Linked DNA regions of Macaca mulatta. The protein of the gene in region 1 purifies or fractionates together with the protein of each later gene. This does not show direct contact. Links are inferred from orthologs where the notes say so. Each region holds a gene or a part of one and is shown in the gene's direction. Other genes may lie near its edges.

What was found. Proteins that work in one complex are often made in the same cells at the same time.
Region 2: the proteins of ITGB1 (region 1) and CANX purify together in Homo sapiens (affinity purification with mass spectrometry; 3 studies listed by BioGRID and IntAct, with this or other methods). This does not show direct contact. The link is inferred for Macaca mulatta from reciprocal best matches to the Homo sapiens genes ITGB1 and CANX.
Region 3: the proteins of ITGB1 (region 1) and CD63 purify together in Homo sapiens (affinity purification with western blotting; 3 studies listed by BioGRID and IntAct, with this or other methods). This does not show direct contact. The link is inferred for Macaca mulatta from reciprocal best matches to the Homo sapiens genes ITGB1 and CD63.
Region 4: the proteins of ITGB1 (region 1) and ITGA9 purify together in Homo sapiens (affinity purification with mass spectrometry; 3 studies listed by BioGRID and IntAct, counting the BioPlex papers as one, with this or other methods). This does not show direct contact. The link is inferred for Macaca mulatta from reciprocal best matches to the Homo sapiens genes ITGB1 and ITGA9.

The regions. Positions count from the first base shown.
Region 1 is NC_133414.1:34,292,960-34,296,459, reverse strand, and holds part of ITGB1 (integrin beta-1), read left to right. Parts: intron 1-1,260; coding exon 1,261-1,427; intron 1,428-2,639; coding exon of another isoform or gene 2,640-2,714; exon of another isoform or gene 2,715-2,720; intron 2,721-3,500.
Region 2 is NC_133411.1:188,686,871-188,690,882, forward strand, and holds the start of CANX (calnexin), read left to right. Parts: upstream 1-1,212; 5' UTR 1,213-1,348; intron 1,349-4,012. UniProt on the Homo sapiens protein: Calcium-binding protein that interacts with newly synthesized monoglucosylated glycoproteins in the endoplasmic reticulum. It may act in assisting protein assembly and/or in the retention within the ER of unassembled protein subunits.
Region 3 is NC_133416.1:62,876,435-62,880,572, reverse strand, and holds the start of CD63 (CD63 antigen), read left to right. Parts: upstream 1-1,338; intron 1,339-1,460; coding exon of another isoform or gene 1,461-1,602; coding exon 1,603-1,668; intron 1,669-2,603; coding exon 2,604-2,792; intron 2,793-2,983; coding exon 2,984-3,058; intron 3,059-3,152; coding exon 3,153-3,248; intron 3,249-3,630; coding exon 3,631-3,771; intron 3,772-3,996; coding exon 3,997-4,080; intron 4,081-4,138. Other genes in the region: uncharacterized protein LOC144332662, read right to left, coding at 646-1,338, 1,461-1,604. UniProt on the Homo sapiens protein: Functions as a cell surface receptor for TIMP1 and plays a role in the activation of cellular signaling cascades. Plays a role in the activation of ITGB1 and integrin signaling, leading to the activation of AKT, FAK/PTK2 and MAP kinases.
Region 4 is NC_133407.1:99,705,681-99,709,779, forward strand, and holds the start of ITGA9 (integrin alpha-9), read left to right. Parts: upstream 1-1,299; 5' UTR 1,300-1,545; coding exon 1,546-1,730; intron 1,731-1,990; exon of another isoform or gene 1,991-2,397; intron 2,398-4,099. UniProt on the Homo sapiens protein: Integrin alpha-9/beta-1 (ITGA9:ITGB1) is a receptor for VCAM1, cytotactin and osteopontin. It recognizes the sequence A-E-I-D-G-I-E-L in cytotactin. ITGA9:ITGB1 may play a crucial role in SVEP1/polydom-mediated myoblast cell adhesion.

The DNA.
Region 1 (3,500 bases):
TCCTGGTAGCCTTTTTGTAGATTCTTTAGAATTTTCTACCTTAGTGTATATGTTTTTGTGTAAACATAAGCTTTCATTTCTCTTGGGTAAATAGTAAAAATGGCATTTTGGAGCATATGGTAAGCATATGTTTAACTTTGTAAGAAGCTGCCAGGTTCTTAGAGTCCTGTAGTGTTTTGAATTATCATCTAGGTGTTTTGCAAATATTGTCTCCCAGCCTGTGCCTCCTTATCGTTTCATTTTTTTAAGTGTCTTTTGAACACCACAGGTTTTAATTTTGATTAAGTACAGTTTACCAAGTTTTTCTTTTGTGGCTCTTATTTTTACATTGTCTTTCAGAACTCTGCCTAACCCAAGATTTTAAGGATTTTTCTCCTGTGTTTTTTTCTAGAAGTTTTATAGTTTCTGGGGTTTCACATTTAGATCTGTAACTCATCTTTAGTTATTCTTAGTGTGTGACAAAAGGCTCAGTTTTTTTCATATCAGTGTCCACTTGTTCTAGGGGCATTTGTTGAAAAAAGACTGTCCTTTCTCCACCTTTGTTGGAAATCAGGTGACCTTACATGTGTAGGCCTGTTTCTGACTCTATTCTGTTCCATGTATCTGAGTGTCTATCTGTTAGCTATACCACGTGGTCTTGTAGCTTTCTTTATAGCTAGCCCTGAAAGCAGGTAATAAGAGTCTTCCAACTTTATTATTTTACAAAAGTGTTTTTGAGACACTTCCCCTAGTTCACTGCCTTCCACGTTAATTTTAAAATTGGCTTGCTGATTGCTACAGAAGTTCTGCCAGGAGTTTGAGTGGGATACTATTGAGTTTATAGATCAAACTGGGAAGAATTGACATCTTAACAGTATTAGGTTTTGTAACTCCTGCACATGGAGTATCTCTCCATTTATTCAGTCTGAAAGATTTCTTTTTATCAGTGTTTAGTAATTCTTAACATGCAAATTTTGCATATATTTTGTTAGACTTATATGTAAGTTTTTCATGCTTTTTCATTCTATAGTAAATATTACTGTTTAAAAATTTCTGTTTTCAATATGTGGAAATAAATTATATATATAGAAAAGTACATGATTTTTGTTCATTGATTATGTATCCTGCAAGCTTGTAAACTCACTTGTTAGTTCTAAAAGCTATTTTATAGATTCTTTGGGATAGTGTGCATTCACTCTCTTGGGTGTTTATTCCTATATTTTTTTTTAATAAGATACTGCCCAGCTTTGTGGTACTTATTATAACCTCCTTATTTTCCAGAGTGTCCCACTGGTCCAGACATCATTCCAATTGTAGCTGGTGTGGTTGCTGGAATTGTTCTTATTGGCCTTGCATTACTGCTGATATGGAAGCTTTTAATGATAATTCATGACAGAAGGGAGTTTGCTAAATTTGAAAAGGAGAAAATGAATGCCAAATGGGACACAGTAAGTTACAAAACATCTAAAAAGCAAAGTGGCTCATAAAGTAAATGTAATACTCCTAAGACTTATATATTAACTGTCAGGGTGATCATTAAAGTCATTTTTAAGTGTTTTATTCCCCCAAAAGTTACTCAAGGAATTTGCATTTAGTGAAAAACAGAAAGCATCCTAAATATATCCCATTGAAACAAAACATTGATTATAAGCATGTATATTCTGGTTACTGTGGCCAGTATTTTTATTTCTTTAATAGTTTCGATCCTAAATCTGCCTTTTCATCTAATGTGGGGCAGAATCCTAAATAATGTTATCTGTGTAGCAAGCTATTCAATGGAAAGCTGTTTCTTTCTTTAAAAAAAGAAACAAAAAAACAACCTTCAATGAAAGCCAGATTCAAAAGGTTGTATACCAAGTTTGTCCAACTTGCAGCTTGTGGGCCAGGACATGCAGACCAGAACAGCTTTGAATGTGGCCCCAACACAAATTTGTAAACTTTCTTAGAAATTGTAAGTTGTTTTTTTTTTTTTGGTGACTTTTTTTTAAGCTTATCGGCTATTGTTAGTGTATTTTATGTGTGGCCCAAGACAATCATTCCAATGTGGCCCAGGGAAGCCAAAAGATTGGACACCCCTGCTGTATACAATATGATTCCATTTAGAAGATATTCTGGAAAAGCAAAACTGTAGGGGCAAAAATCAGTGGTTGCTAGGGGCTGGAACGGAGGAAAGGGTTGACCACAACAGGGCGTAAGGAATCTTCCTGGGGATGATCTTGATTGTGGGTAGATTTATGTATTTGAAAACTCACAGAACTATGTACTTTAAAAAGATGTGTGTTCCTCTATGAAAACTGTATCTCAGTAAACCTTAGCTTATAAAAATCTTAAAAGCCCTAAGTGACTGAAAGTTTATGTTAGCATTTTTAGAGCTTTGAAATAAGGAGTCAGAGGGTGGGGTAACCAAATGTTGGCCTTTGTGTATCCATCTTTTGATACAAGAAAGCAATGACAATCTTCAGTATTTTTAAATTGTAAATGAATTGTAGTTAGTTGCACTTTACTACAATTTCCTTGGGTTTTTTAAAATTATCAGTTTTTTAAATTATAAATTGCAGAAGGGTAGAAATAGAAAAAAAATTCCCTTTATAGTGTTTGAACACTATAAATGTCCTTTTTTTTTCTGATGAAATCATTAGAAACTATTTCTTTTACTTTAGCAAGAAAATCCGATTTACAAGAGTCCTATTAATAATTTCAAGAATCCAAACTACGGACGTAAAGCTGGTCTCTAAATTGCCGTTCGTATTTTCCTTCACTTTCTGCCTTTGCATGTGAACTTTTATCTTTTTTACTGCACTGTGTGTCCTTATCACTATTGCTGGTCTTTTTTTAAGTCTGGCTTTAAATATCGCTATTGTGGCTTTTCTTTTTGTGTGTTAACTTCGCGTTTTTCTTAGAAAGACTGTAAAATAAGTCATGTGATATAGAACAGCAGCTATGTTGTAGTGAAAAGAGAATGTGCTTTGCAATTAGTTAGACATTAGGTCAAATCCCACCTCTTCCACTTAGTAAGCAGAACAGCATTGAGCCACTTCACTTCTCATCTATCACAGGGAGTCAGTACTCTGTATTGTATGGGGTGGTTGTATTTGGCAAATGCACTCTAGTATATGAAATCAGCCTGTCAGCTCTAATCCTCACAACAGTCCTATGCCTAGAATAATATTATCCTTTTTTCTTTTCCTTTTCTTTTTTTTTTTTTTTTTTTTTTGAGACAGAGTCTTGCTCTGTCGCCCAACCTGGAGTGCAGTGGTGTGATGACAGCTCACTGCAACCTCTGCTTTCCAGATTCCAGCGATTCTCCTGCCTCAGCCTCCCAAGTATCTGGGATTACAGGTGCCTGCCACCACGCTAGGCTAATTTTTTTATTTTTAGTAGAGACGGGGTTTCACCATGTTGGCTGGGCTGGCCTTGAAGTCCTGACCTCTGGTGTTCCACCTGCCTTGGCCTCCCAAAGTGCTGGGATTACAGGTGTGAGCCACTGTGCCCCACCAGTATTATCCTTAAATAACAAATTT
Region 2 (4,012 bases), on another chromosome or scaffold:
GTGTAATCCAAGCGACTCGGAAGGCTGAGGGAGAATCGCTTGAACCCGGGAGGCGGAGGTTGTAGTGAGCTAAGATCGCACCACTGCACTCCAGCCTGAGCGACAGAGCAAGACTTCGTCTCAAAAAAATAAAAATAAAAATAAAAAATTGGGGAGCTGAGGGTTGGATGATACTAACTCATGCAAACACCAAACCCTGCCTTTCTTCCCCTTCCAGGTGGCAAGAGGGCTTTGAGATCAGTGATACATCCGCTGATTCTAGTGTTTTCCACCCAAGTTTTCAAGCCTTTGGGTGTCCAAACAGAGGACAAGAGATCAAGATCTCTAAAGGTCTAGAAAAACCCGGGGCCACTTCCATTTTGTGAGGTTCTCAGCATACTGAAAACTGAAGACGTGCTAAGAGTGGGTTACTAAAATGGTGGCGTATCTGAAATCTTTCCAGGGCACCATGCCTTCTCTCATCCTGTCATCCCTGTATCTCAGGGCTCATCCTCTGCCCTGACCCCTAATCTCACTTCAGGAAACATAAATTGAAAGTTCAGATAACCTCGGATTGTGTTACTCTGGACTGTGTGTTATGCTGGGCGACGAGGCTGCGCAGGCTCCTGCGCCGAGCCATGACTCTGCAGGAACTGCGGCGCCGGCTCACACGGCGCGGAGCGGGGCACGGCTGGCCGGCCAGGCGCCCGCGCTGCGTTCTGCTCACGCCCATAAGGGCCCGCGTTCGCTGCAACCGGCCCTCCTTGATGGCTGATCGTCGCACTCCCACCCCTCCCGCCTGCTGCCGTTTGCCCCGTCAGCTAAGGGCGCGCGATGCGTCCCAAGTCTCGGCTCCAGCAACCAGACGGGTGAGGGCCGCTGGGGGTTGGGTTGGAACGCCCCCGAAGGCACCACGGCAACCGAGCGCGGGAACGCCTGTTAAGCCAGCCCCGCCCCGGGACGCGCGCGCCCGGCGCTCTCGATCCAGCGTGGCCCGCCCCTCACCTCCCGCCCAACCAACAGCCACTTCCTGCCTCACTCCCGACCAATCGTCACACTCCACGAAGAATAGCCGTAGGGGGCGTATGGGACGGTGCGTAGAGCGATGCCCACGCCGGCCAACCGGATGTCGGGGCTTGCGCGGGTGGGCGGGACTTGGCGCCGGCTGTGGCTACTGAGGGGCCAGGGGCGGCGCAGGGCCGGGCTTAGTGCGGTGGGGCTCGCTCGCGCGGCAGCGGTGTCCGAGGCCTGTTGGTTCTGCGGCACGTGACGGTCGGGCCGCCTCCGCCTCTGTCTTTACTGCGGCGCGGGGCCAGGTGTGCGGGCGGGAAGGGGCACGGGCAGCCCCGCGGTCCCCGGGAGGCTAGAGGTGAGACGGGAGACCTGAGTGCGTCCTCGGGCCTTGAGGACCCCGGGGGCTGGGAGCGCCTCTGCGGCTGAGGGGTCGGGCGTGGCCGGGGACTGAGGGGTCGGGCTGGCTCTTGAGGGCCCAGGCCCTGTCCGACGCGCCCGCCGTGAGCGGGGAGGCCCGAATTCGGGCCTCTTTGGTTGGGGAGCGGGCCCAGGCCGCGCGGCCGGGGTCGGGAGGCGTGGCAGGTGGCCCTACAGCCTTCCTTGACCTCTGGGAAAGCTGACTTATTCCTATGGCTTTGCTTCTAGGGCTTTCTTAGGCCTCTTTGCCTGCTGCCTGGCAGCCGCGAGGTGGGCTGGAGTAACTGGGTAAAAGTGTGGAGTGGAATCGGGCCTGCTGGGTACCCCTAGCAGTAGGGAAGGATGGTGTTAGACCGAGGGGGAATGTTTAGGATTAGCGTTACAGTTTAGTATTTGAAAATCCAAAGAGTAGACTGGACCCTAGCTCCCTGAAGAGAAAGGGGAATGTACTAGAAGGAGAACACGCAGTGGTTGAGAAACTTGACAGTTACAGCACCTATTCTGGAGGAGAGTCATCCAGTTGGAGATGGACAGGGCGTTAAAAGCAGGAAAGCACCCGAAAACTCATCTAATGCATCTGTTTTTACAGGGGAGGCCTAGAGGTATGAAATGACTGGCCCAAGGTCATGCGATTAGTTTAATGATGGTGCTGGGATTATAGTTCAGGGATAGGCAGTGCAGTGGTTAACGTTAAGGCCCTGGCTCAAGTCTTTCATTGGTCATTTGTTGCTCTGTGAACTTCGGCAGTTTTCTTACCCTTTGTGCCCCCGTTCTTGTCAAGTGATGGATATAATAATACCTGATGGATCTGTGAGGATTACATTCAGATATGTATACAATAAGGGAAGTCTGACATTTAGTAACTGCCCTATAATTACTGCAATACATTATTATAATCTGAATGCCTCTGGACCAATACACTGCCATCCTAGTGAACTGGTTCAGTCCTGTTTCCCAGGACCTGAAGTCACAGTTATGGTGATGGAAGAAACTGGGCATTGTGTATTAACTGTTAGGTATGACACAAGTGATTGCTGGTTGAGGGAAGTTAAACTGAGCTTAATATTAAAAGATTGAGAGGACAAGATGAACTATAGTTAAGTCTTTTTACCTCTGATTTAGGAAATGGAATATTTTGCTTAATTTTTTAATTAGATTTTTTTAAGGGGGAAGAATTTTATTGATCTTTAAAATCATTCTGTATCTCAGTCTTTTCCCAATATTGTTTGAGGGTCATGAATAGAATCAACTGCCATGTTAATCAACTGTTGTACATTTGGTGTAATTATACTTAGAGCAGAGGTAAAGGACTATGTGGGAGTTCTTTGCATCAACCAGGGTGCACAAACAAGCCAGGTAACTGGGTCATGAGAATGCCCGAGTGAACTGTGTGTGGGGTCAGTGTTGCACAACAGAAATTTTCTGACTTGGCTGCAGGTGGGTGTCAGCATTCCCCCACACCTTACTATCTTGACTCCACAGTTCATTTAGCGCATTATCTTCTCAGGGCCACAAGGGGTAAATGTTTTGACAAAAGTCGTTGCTGCCGTTTTGGCAATCACACTATTGCATCCTTGTAGTTAGAGTTCTCTTTGCCCTGGAAGACAGCTTAAGGGGATGAAGTGGCAGTTGGTGAGCATGAATTGCAGGCTCATGAAACTTGAATTGTGGGCCCAGTATGGTAGCTTTTTTTTTCTTTTTGAGGCGGAGTCTCGCTCTGTCACCCAGGCTGGAGTGCAGTGGCACGATCTTGGCTCACCGCAAGCTCTGCCTCCTGGGTTCACGCCATTCTCCTGCCTCACCCTACCGAGTAGCTGAGACTACAGGCACCCACCACCACACCCGGCTAATTTTTGTATTTTTCAGTAGAGACGGAGTTTCACCGTGTTAGCCATGATGGTCACGATCTCCTGACCTCGTGAACCACCCGCCTCAGCCTCCCAGAGTGCTGGGATTACAGGCGTGAGCCACCACCGGTAGCTTTTGTCCTACTTTTGTTTCCGTAACTTTAGGAATACGAAGTCTGCTGGGTTCTTCACCTTTAGGGGGCAATTGGGAGGGGCAGATAAAACGATGAACATGGAACTAGTTTAAAAAGTGTAATGAATTGGCTGGGCACGGTGGCTCTCACGCCTGTAGTTCGAGCACTTTGGGAGGCTAAGGTGGGCAGATTACTTGAGGCCAGGAGTTGGTGACCAGCCTCGCCAACATGGTGAAACCCTGTCTCTACTAAAAATACAGAAAAAAATTAACCTCTAGCTACTCTGGAGGCTGAGGCAGGAGAATCACTGAACCTGAAAGGCGGAGGTTGCAGTGAGTGGAGATGGTGCCATTGCACTCCAGCCTGGGTGACAGAGTGAGACTCCATCTCAGAAAAAAAAAAAAAAAGTGTAATGAACTGTGGAAATAGAATACATAGTTCATAATAACGCCTAGGAAATAATGAAAGTACCTAAACACAGTTATAGCCTATATAGCTTATGGTGAAACTTGTCAGGAAAGTCCTGGTTGAATTCTTTGTTACTGCAACAGATGTACTTTTTTTTTTTTTTTTTTTTTTTTGAGACTGAGTCTCCCTCTGTCACCCATGCTGGAGTGCAGT
Region 3 (4,138 bases), on another chromosome or scaffold:
CCTGGCACACAAGGGAGGGAGGCAGCTTGACCCCCTAGCCCGCTTCCAGCCCTCACCTGGCTTTGTCTTCTGGGATAAGACGAGGAAATCCAGAGGATGTAAGCCTCTACCTTCGTGTCTTCCCCCAAACCCTCGCTATCACAGACGATGCAGGAGCTGTCCGGGAGTTGGGAGGGCAGACCTTGTCAATCCTCCCCCAGAGGGCGGGACCCGACGCGGACGTGGATTGATTGACTGGGTAGCGTGGCTTCGGGGAAGGGCTTCCTCCCCTTTTCTCAGACTAGGAACCCTGGAAAATGGAGAAGCTATGCTAATATAGGGGGGTCAGAAATCCCCACTCTAGAATGCTCTAGAATGTTGGGAGACACCCAGTATGTGAGGCCAGGGACTTTCTGGAACTGTTGGTTCTGGCCCCACCCGACCCCAGGCAGTCCCCAGCTGTCTGCACAGTCGGATGGGGAGGGGGCTTGCACAGAGTTGGAGCCAGAGGAGAGAGCTGGGCTACTGGAGAAGGATGGGGAAACCTCTCTCAGACCACCTTGTCACCGGGCCTCAGCTCTCCGCCCCGGCGCTCAGGATAACTCTCACCTAGCTCGTCCGCTTCTCTAAACCAGAGTGACCCAGGCTGCGCTCCGCCCTGCTCTCCTACCCCGAGTTGGCACGGAGGCGGGGCGCGAGAGGGGGGCCCCAGGCGCCCCGAGGTCTTGCCTTTTCGGCTCTCCGTTTGCGGGGGGTGGGCGCCTTCTTCCGGGTAGGGGCCACGTGGCCCTGGCCGGGCGGGGGGCTCGGCCCACCCCGCGCCGGGCCCAGTGACTCAGGCCGCAGCTGTTCCCGCGTCACATGAGGGAGGCCGGCGGCCACTGGGCGGGGGAGGGGACCGTGGCTGGAGCCCGGGGCGGGGCCGCGCGGCAGGCGGGGCGGGAGCCGGGGGGCGCAGCTAGAGAGCCCCGGAGCCGCGGCGGGAGAGGAGCGCGCAGCCTTGGGGAGCCCAGGTGAGGCCGCGGGGCCCCGGCGGACTTCGGCGCGGGCTGGGAGAGACCACCGGCGGTCCCTTCCTCCAGGGCTCGCCCCAGGCCCGCGGAGACTCGCCCGGCGCTCTCCAGCCGCCCTCGAGCAACTTTGATTCGAACTTCCCTGGGCCCGGGCAGGGTGTGGCGGGGGTGCCGGCCGCACCTTTTTTTTTTTTGGTGGGCGGGAGGTCAGAGCCCAGGGGAAAGCGACTGGGGCAGGGGTCGGGGTTGGGCTGAAGACCGTTTCTCCGGGCTGGGTGTTGGGTGGGGAGAGGGTGTTTGACGCCTGGAGACTGAAGGGCCGAGGGTCGGCGTCAGGCTCGAGCCCCTACCGGCGCCCTCGGATCTATCCTGGGCCCCAGAGGCGGCGGGGCGGGGTCCGGGCTTCGCGGTGGTCGCCCCCACCCCTCTCCTGCGGGTAGAGAGGGGGCTGGGAGACGTGGTTCCGACCGCGGGTTTCCGGGTGGGAGGGGCCGGGAATCGGGGCCGTGTAGGGAAGCCCTCGAGGGCCGGCCAGGAGCCCGGAAACCGAGGTCCCCCTTCGGCCGGTTTTAATCCCCCCGCCCTCCTCTCTGCCCCAGGCCCGGCAGCCATGGCGGTGGAAGGAGGAATGAAATGTGTGAAGTTCTTGCTCTACGTCCTCCTGCTGGCCTTTTGCGTGAGTGGCGAGGGGTCCTGGGGGGCGCGCCGGCAGGGTGCGGGGAGACCTGGCTCCACAGTGGTGAGGGCTGAGGGAATAATTAAGGCAGCTGGAGACCAGATGTGGAAAGAAAGCCAGGGAAAGACAGCGCGGCCACTCCCTCCTCCAGTTTTCCTGGACACCTGAGGCTTGTTTCCACCGAGAATGGCCATCCTGGGTGTGCAGCAACCCCTACCCCCATCCCTCCTTCCTGGCCCTTCCTGTCTGGTGACCCAACCACTTGTGATATGGGGCAGTGGGGCAACCAGCCAACCGCCTGATGCTATCGCCACGAGGCTTCCCTTCGCTCTCCCTTCTCCCCTCTCTTCCTCCCCAACCCCCTCATCCCTCTCCAGTCCCTCTCCCCCTTTCCGTCCTCCCAGCGCTTGGGAGCGAGGAAGGGCTCTGCCCACCTCAATTTGCTCCTGTCCTGGGCTCCTGGCTTGAGAGGCTACTGTTTGTCTAGGGAGGGGCACATCACTCTTGCCGCCTTTTCCTCTTCCCTTCTCCTGGCTTAACTGGCCAGAGGAACCTTAGTCACAGCTGATGCGCGTGGGGTGTGCACTGGAGGATAGTGAGGGAGCAGTTCTGGGAGAGAATTGAGCTGGGAGTCCTGGAGGCCCGTAGAAAGCATTATTCTAGGTCAGAAATACGTGCCTTGGGGTCAAGGCTTTCTGGGAGGTCTTTGAATTTGGTCACGTCCCTGATTGAAGAGCTGGGAGGGGATCAAGGGAGATGGGGGCAGGCAAGGATGGGTCATCCCCCTTCCCTACAGCCAAAGAAGTTCCCTGGAGGTGTGAGAATCTCTCCTCCGGATGGGGTCATGTCTGTGTCCTAGGTGTACCCCTTGTCCTCCACCATGGAGGACCACTGTGTTGTGGATCAGGCCTAATCCTCACCTGCTTTCCTCTTAGGCCTGTGCAGTGGGACTGATTGCTGTGGGTGTCGGGGCACAGCTTGTCCTGAGTCAGACCATAATCCAGGGGGCTACCCCTGGCTCTCTGTTGCCTGTGGTCATCATCGCAGTGGGTGTCTTCCTCTTCCTCGTGGCCTTTGTGGGCTGCTGCGGGGCCTGCAAGGAGAACTATTGTCTTATGATCACGGTGAGTGGGAGGCGGGACTAACATGGGTGGTCTGGGACTGCCAGAGCAACTTGGTTGGTGCTCAGGAAGGTGGGTGAGGTGAGGTGGGTGGGTGAGGAAGACCTTTGTGAGTGTCCAGGGACCGGCTATGCCAGAACGGGCCCCTGTAATGCATAGACTCCAAACCTGACTCCTGTCCTTTGCTCCTGCAGTTTGCCATCTTTCTGTCTCTTATCATGTTGGTGGAGGTGGCCGCAGCCATTGCTGGCTATGTGTTTAGAGATAAGGTAAGCAGGGAATAATGGGAAGGGCCTGCCTCAGCCTGGTCTGGGACCCAGGTGCTTGAATTCTGACGGCAACAGTGCTCCTCCGTACCCTCAGGTGATGTCAGAGTTTAATAACAACTTCCGGCAGCAGATGGAGAATTACCCGAAAAACAACCACACTGCTTCGATCCTGGACAGGATGCAGGCAGATGTGAGTGGGGTTGCTGGGAGCAGGGGTGATGGGAATAGAGAATTCTCATCTCCAAGGCTGGGTGTGGTGGCTCACACCTGTAATCTCAGCACTTTTGGAGGCCAAAACCCTTTCTCTACTAAAAATACAAAAATTAGCCAGGTGTGGTGGTGAGTGCCTGTAATCCCAGCTACTCAGGAGGGTGAGGCAGGAGAATCGCTTGAACCCAGAAGGCAGAGGTTGCAGTGAGCCGAGATCAAGCCACCACACTCCAGTCTGGGCAACAGAGCAAGTCTGTCTCAAAAAAAAAAAAAAAAAAAAAAAAAAAAAAAACAATTCTCATCTCCATATTGATGGTGAAGGTTCACTTAACTCCCTTCTCCATATTTCTTCCCTACCCCAGTTTAAGTGCTGTGGGGCTGCTAACTACACAGATTGGGAGAAAATCCCTTCCATGTCGAAGAACCGAGTCCCTGACTCCTGCTGCATTAATGTCACTGTGGGCTGTGGGATTAATTTCAACGAGAAGGCGATCCATAAGGAGGTAGGGAGGAAACTGTGTATGGGACTTGGAAAACCTGGGAAATATTTTAGAAGGCAAGAGACCCAGGATGGAGGTGGACAGCGTCAGGGATGGGGAGGGGATCTGGAAATGGTAAGGGTGGGGTGAAAGGTACCGGGGCAGGGAAGAGATTGATGGACCAGGGGAGGGGATTGGGGTGGGAAGTTTCTGATGGTGCTTTTATCGTTTGTGCCTGCCACCCTTCAGGGCTGTGTGGAGAAGATTGGGGGCTGGCTGAGGAAAAATGTGCTGGTGGTGGCTGCAGCAGCTCTTGGAATTGCTTTTGTTGAGGTAAGAGATAACCCTGAGAGAGGGCTGGGACTCAATCCAGGGTGCCTGGAGGATAGGG
Region 4 (4,099 bases), on another chromosome or scaffold:
AGTTGAAAATCCTAGGTAGACACATTTCAGGAAGAAAGAAGTGTTGGAGAGGGCACAACGTGTGTGAAAACCCCTGCTGGACACATTCAGGGGACAGCTAGAAGTTGTGTGTGGATACATTGTAGGGTTTGTGGGAAGTGAGTCAGGAAAGGGGCATAAAATGGGGCTGGAAACAGATGGAGCCTCCATTTGAAGTTATGCTAAGGAGACCTGGCTCCATCCTATAGGCAGGAGTAGCTGGTGGGGGGCAACAGGAAGTTTTTAACCATTGTCCAAACTCTGTTGTAGAATTAAAAAGTGGAAAGAAGAGAACACAGGCAGGGAAACCACAAGAGTGTGGTCAGACTTCAACATGATAGCAGTCAATTCAGTAGGAATCTTGAATTTGAGTAGTCAGGTTCATAGAGACAGAAGGTAGAAAGGTGGTTGCCAGAGGCTGGTGGTGGGGATGGGGGTAGGGTTGGGGGAAAGAGGAGTTATTGTTTAGGGTATAAAGTTTGTTTTCCAAGATGAAGAGTTCTGAAGTTGGATGGTGGTGATGGTTGCATAACATGCATATACTTAATCCCCCAAACGGCACAGTTAAAAATGGTTAAGATGGTAGACTTTCTCTTATGCATATTTACAATTACACACACACACACCCTTGAGTGCACGCAGACCCTGCTGGATTCCAACCCACAGAGCTTCTGATTTAGCAGAGCTGAGTGGGACCTGAGGATTTGCTTTTTCTTACAAGTTCCTAGATGACGTTGATGCTGCTGGTCCAGACACCACACTTAGGGAATCACTGGTGTATGAGACCAAGTGACTAGAATATGGAGGGGTGCTCTGCTCGCTTCCACGTGGCTACTATTGTTATGAACAACAACAGCGGGCGTTTACTGAGCACTGCTCCTACAGCTTATCTCACAACTGGGTGAAGGAGCAGAGGATGCGCAGGGCTAGAATCTGGAGTCTGAACTTGTCTTTCACCGGGGTTGCTTTGGATCTTACTGGTTGTGAGACAGGGAGGGAAAGAGAGACAAAAACAGGGAGACAGGCCCACTAGGGCCGGCAGAGCCTGTAGTGGCGGAGGGCAGCAGCTTTATCTCCGGGAACCCGAGCGCCCCGTGCGCGGCGGGGAGGGGGCAGCTCCGGGCGCCTCGGCGGGTCCCCGAGGCTGACTCCCGCCCGGGAAGTGCGCGCAGGGCTCGCAGCCCGCAGGGGGCGCTGCCGCGCCGTCCAGCCGCTGCCGCCCGGGCCGCCCACCCTGCGGGCGCGCCCCTCCGCAGTCCAGCGCCGCCCGGCCCGGGACCCGCTCGCGCAGACTTCTCGGGCGGACTGAGGACGCCCACCGCTCGGGGCCGTCCCTGTGCTCGCCTTCAGCGCCCGCTCAGCTCGCCGTCCGCGCCCCGGTGCCGGGCCCGACGCCCGCATCCCGCCCGTGTCCAGGCGCAGAGCTCCCGCCCCGGGGAGCTTCCCGGCCGTCGGCTGACCCCGCGGCCCGCGCGCTCGGCGCCCTGCTCGCCGGGCAGAGGGGAAGGCGGCGGCGGCCAGCTAGGGATGGGCGGCCCGGCTGCGCCGAGGGGCGCCGGGGGGCTCCGCGCGCTGCTGCTGGCGCTGGTGGTCGCGGGGATCCCCGCGGGCGCCTACAACCTCGACCCGCAGCGTCCGGTGCACTTCCAGGGCCCCGCCGACTCGTTCTTCGGCTACGCGGTTCTGGAGCATTTCCACGACAACACGCGCTGGTGAGTGCCCGCCCAGCTCCGCGACCCTGGCCCGCGCGGCCACCGCCCTGGTCCCCAGGCCAGCGCCGCCGCCGCCTTTCCGGCCTCCTCCATGCCGCCGTCCCGAGGGGGCGATTTAAATGTCTCTGTTGCGCGCGGCTTGGCCGCCGGGGGGACGGCGGGAGAAGGGAGGACGCCGTCCGGGGCCCTCTGAGGTCGGGGTCGGCGCCTGGAGGCGGACGGGGGCGTCCGGGCCCCTCCCCGGGGTCCCAGCCCGGAGCGTGCGGGGAGAGCCGCTAGAGTTGTCTCTCCGCCGCCCAGCCAGACTCGGCTTCGCTCTCTGGATCGCAAAGTAACTTGGCTCCTCTGCCTCCGAGTGGCCGCCGCTGGCCCGGTGAGCTTCCTGAACCTCGCAGGGCCTGGAGGAGTCGGGGCACTGGAGCTGCACCTCTCCCCGATTTTGGGGAACCCCTGAGGAAGTGGTATAGCCTCTACAGCGCCGCTGCGCGGGGTGGGGCTCCCCAGGGACAGGGTGTCTGGGATCCCTTAGGGCGCACTGGAGCCCAGAGCCACCCCCTCCCACCCCGCCCCTACAAGACCCTGGGTGGAAGTGAAGCGGAGAAGCTCCTGGGATATAGGGAAGAGGAGGGTGAGGGAGCACCTACGAGTGACACCGCCAGTGGGTCAGGTAGGTGTTTCTTGCGGCAGCCTGAGTCTCATCTCATACGGGCCATTCGACCTGGAGACCTTCACCAGAAGCCTTAAGAGAGAGACGTGTTTCTATAGAGGCCAAGGGGTCCAGCTGTCTCCTGAGTACGAAGAGGTGGGCCTGAAGAAGGGGGCGGCCCTCCCCCATGAAGCACCATAAGCTGAGTGGTACAGAGCTTGTGCCCAACCCCAGCAGAGAAGCACTAAGGGGAGGTTGGTGCCCTCACTGGCCACTTCCTCTGGACCCGAGGGAATGAACAGCCACATAGTGGTCACTTCTTGATAGGAGAGAGAGTTAGGCTGCAGGAAGTTCCCCCGTTCAAGGTCATGCCTCAGTGGGGGCCCAGGTGACAGCCAGGCTGGGGTTGATTTTATTGTGTAGTCACCAGCCTGAGCGGCCTTAGGGGTGGCAGGCAGGGAGGTCGAGGTCACTGTTGCCGGTGCATGAAGTTATGCAGGAGAGTCACTGCTCTGTATTGGACAGAGGCTGATGGAAAAGGGTGATTTGTGGATCGCAATACTCAGGCATTCCCGGAAAAGGGGACTCCGAGACCATCCCACTAAGAATAATGTTGTTCAGGAGATCAGCCTCCAAGAGAACCAGATTTCAAAGCCCTCACATAGCTCTCGCCCAGCTCCACATCCCCCTCTCTCACTCCAGTTGCTGGGTTTAAGACAGCGTGTCTGTTCTTACACTTGTCAAATTCCCCTTTTAAAGCAGAGCAGGCTGAACATTTTTCTGTGTCCTGCAGACTCAGGGTCTGAGGTTGAAGAACACATCCCAGATCCCCACACTAGGCACCAAGCACATGGGCAGCGCTGTCAAAAATGGGAGGGCTACTGCGGACAGGGGGCTGCTGAGAAAGGGCCGACAGCTGAGCAGGCAGCCAAGCCAGCCAGAGCATTGTATGTGATCTGCAGGCTGAGGTTGGCTCAAGTGCCTTAGAGCTCTTTGACAGCTAGAGGGAGAGAGGCCAGGCCACTGTCACTGTGGATTTGCATGGGCCACAGGTCAAAGCCACCCTGCCTGGGAAAGGAATGGGTAGAGACGAGAGCAGATCTGACAGAGAAAAGGTGTTCAGCCTACTTTGATTTAAAAAGGGGATAAAGAAAAGCTGTTGTGAGCAGATTTGGCCAGTGTAGGAAAAGACATTGTGGCCTTCAACTTGTTACCCAGGGTAAATGGTAGGGAGGGGATGTGGAGCTGGGCAATAATGCTGTGCATATCCTTGTTGCCAGTTGAGATGTGGGACTGGTATTTCAGGGGTCCATGGGAACCCATGTAGCTGGGCTGCTGGGCTCAAAAGTGCCCTCTCTTGTTGTGATACAAGCTGGCTGCTTTTTTGTGTTGGAGTGCTTGTTCCTGTAGCTGTTCAGGCACCAACTTTACTGAAATCTTCTAAAAATAATGCTTCGTTTTACTCCCCCACCCACCACATTGACTTAATTTTTTCTTAGATTTTGTTGTCGCCTTGATTTCTGTTCTCATGCTGTTGTTTTCAAGTGTTTTCCTCCCCATCCTTTTTTTCTCTTTCCTTTTTTCCCAATATTCTTTGTCTTAGACCTTGAATGTATTTTTTGCTGTATGTATGTTCGAATGTATTTTTTATCCAGGCTTGGTAAACTAAGGCCTTTGAAGTAAGTGACTTCCAGCATCTTCTTTCTCCTTCTTCTTTCCTCTA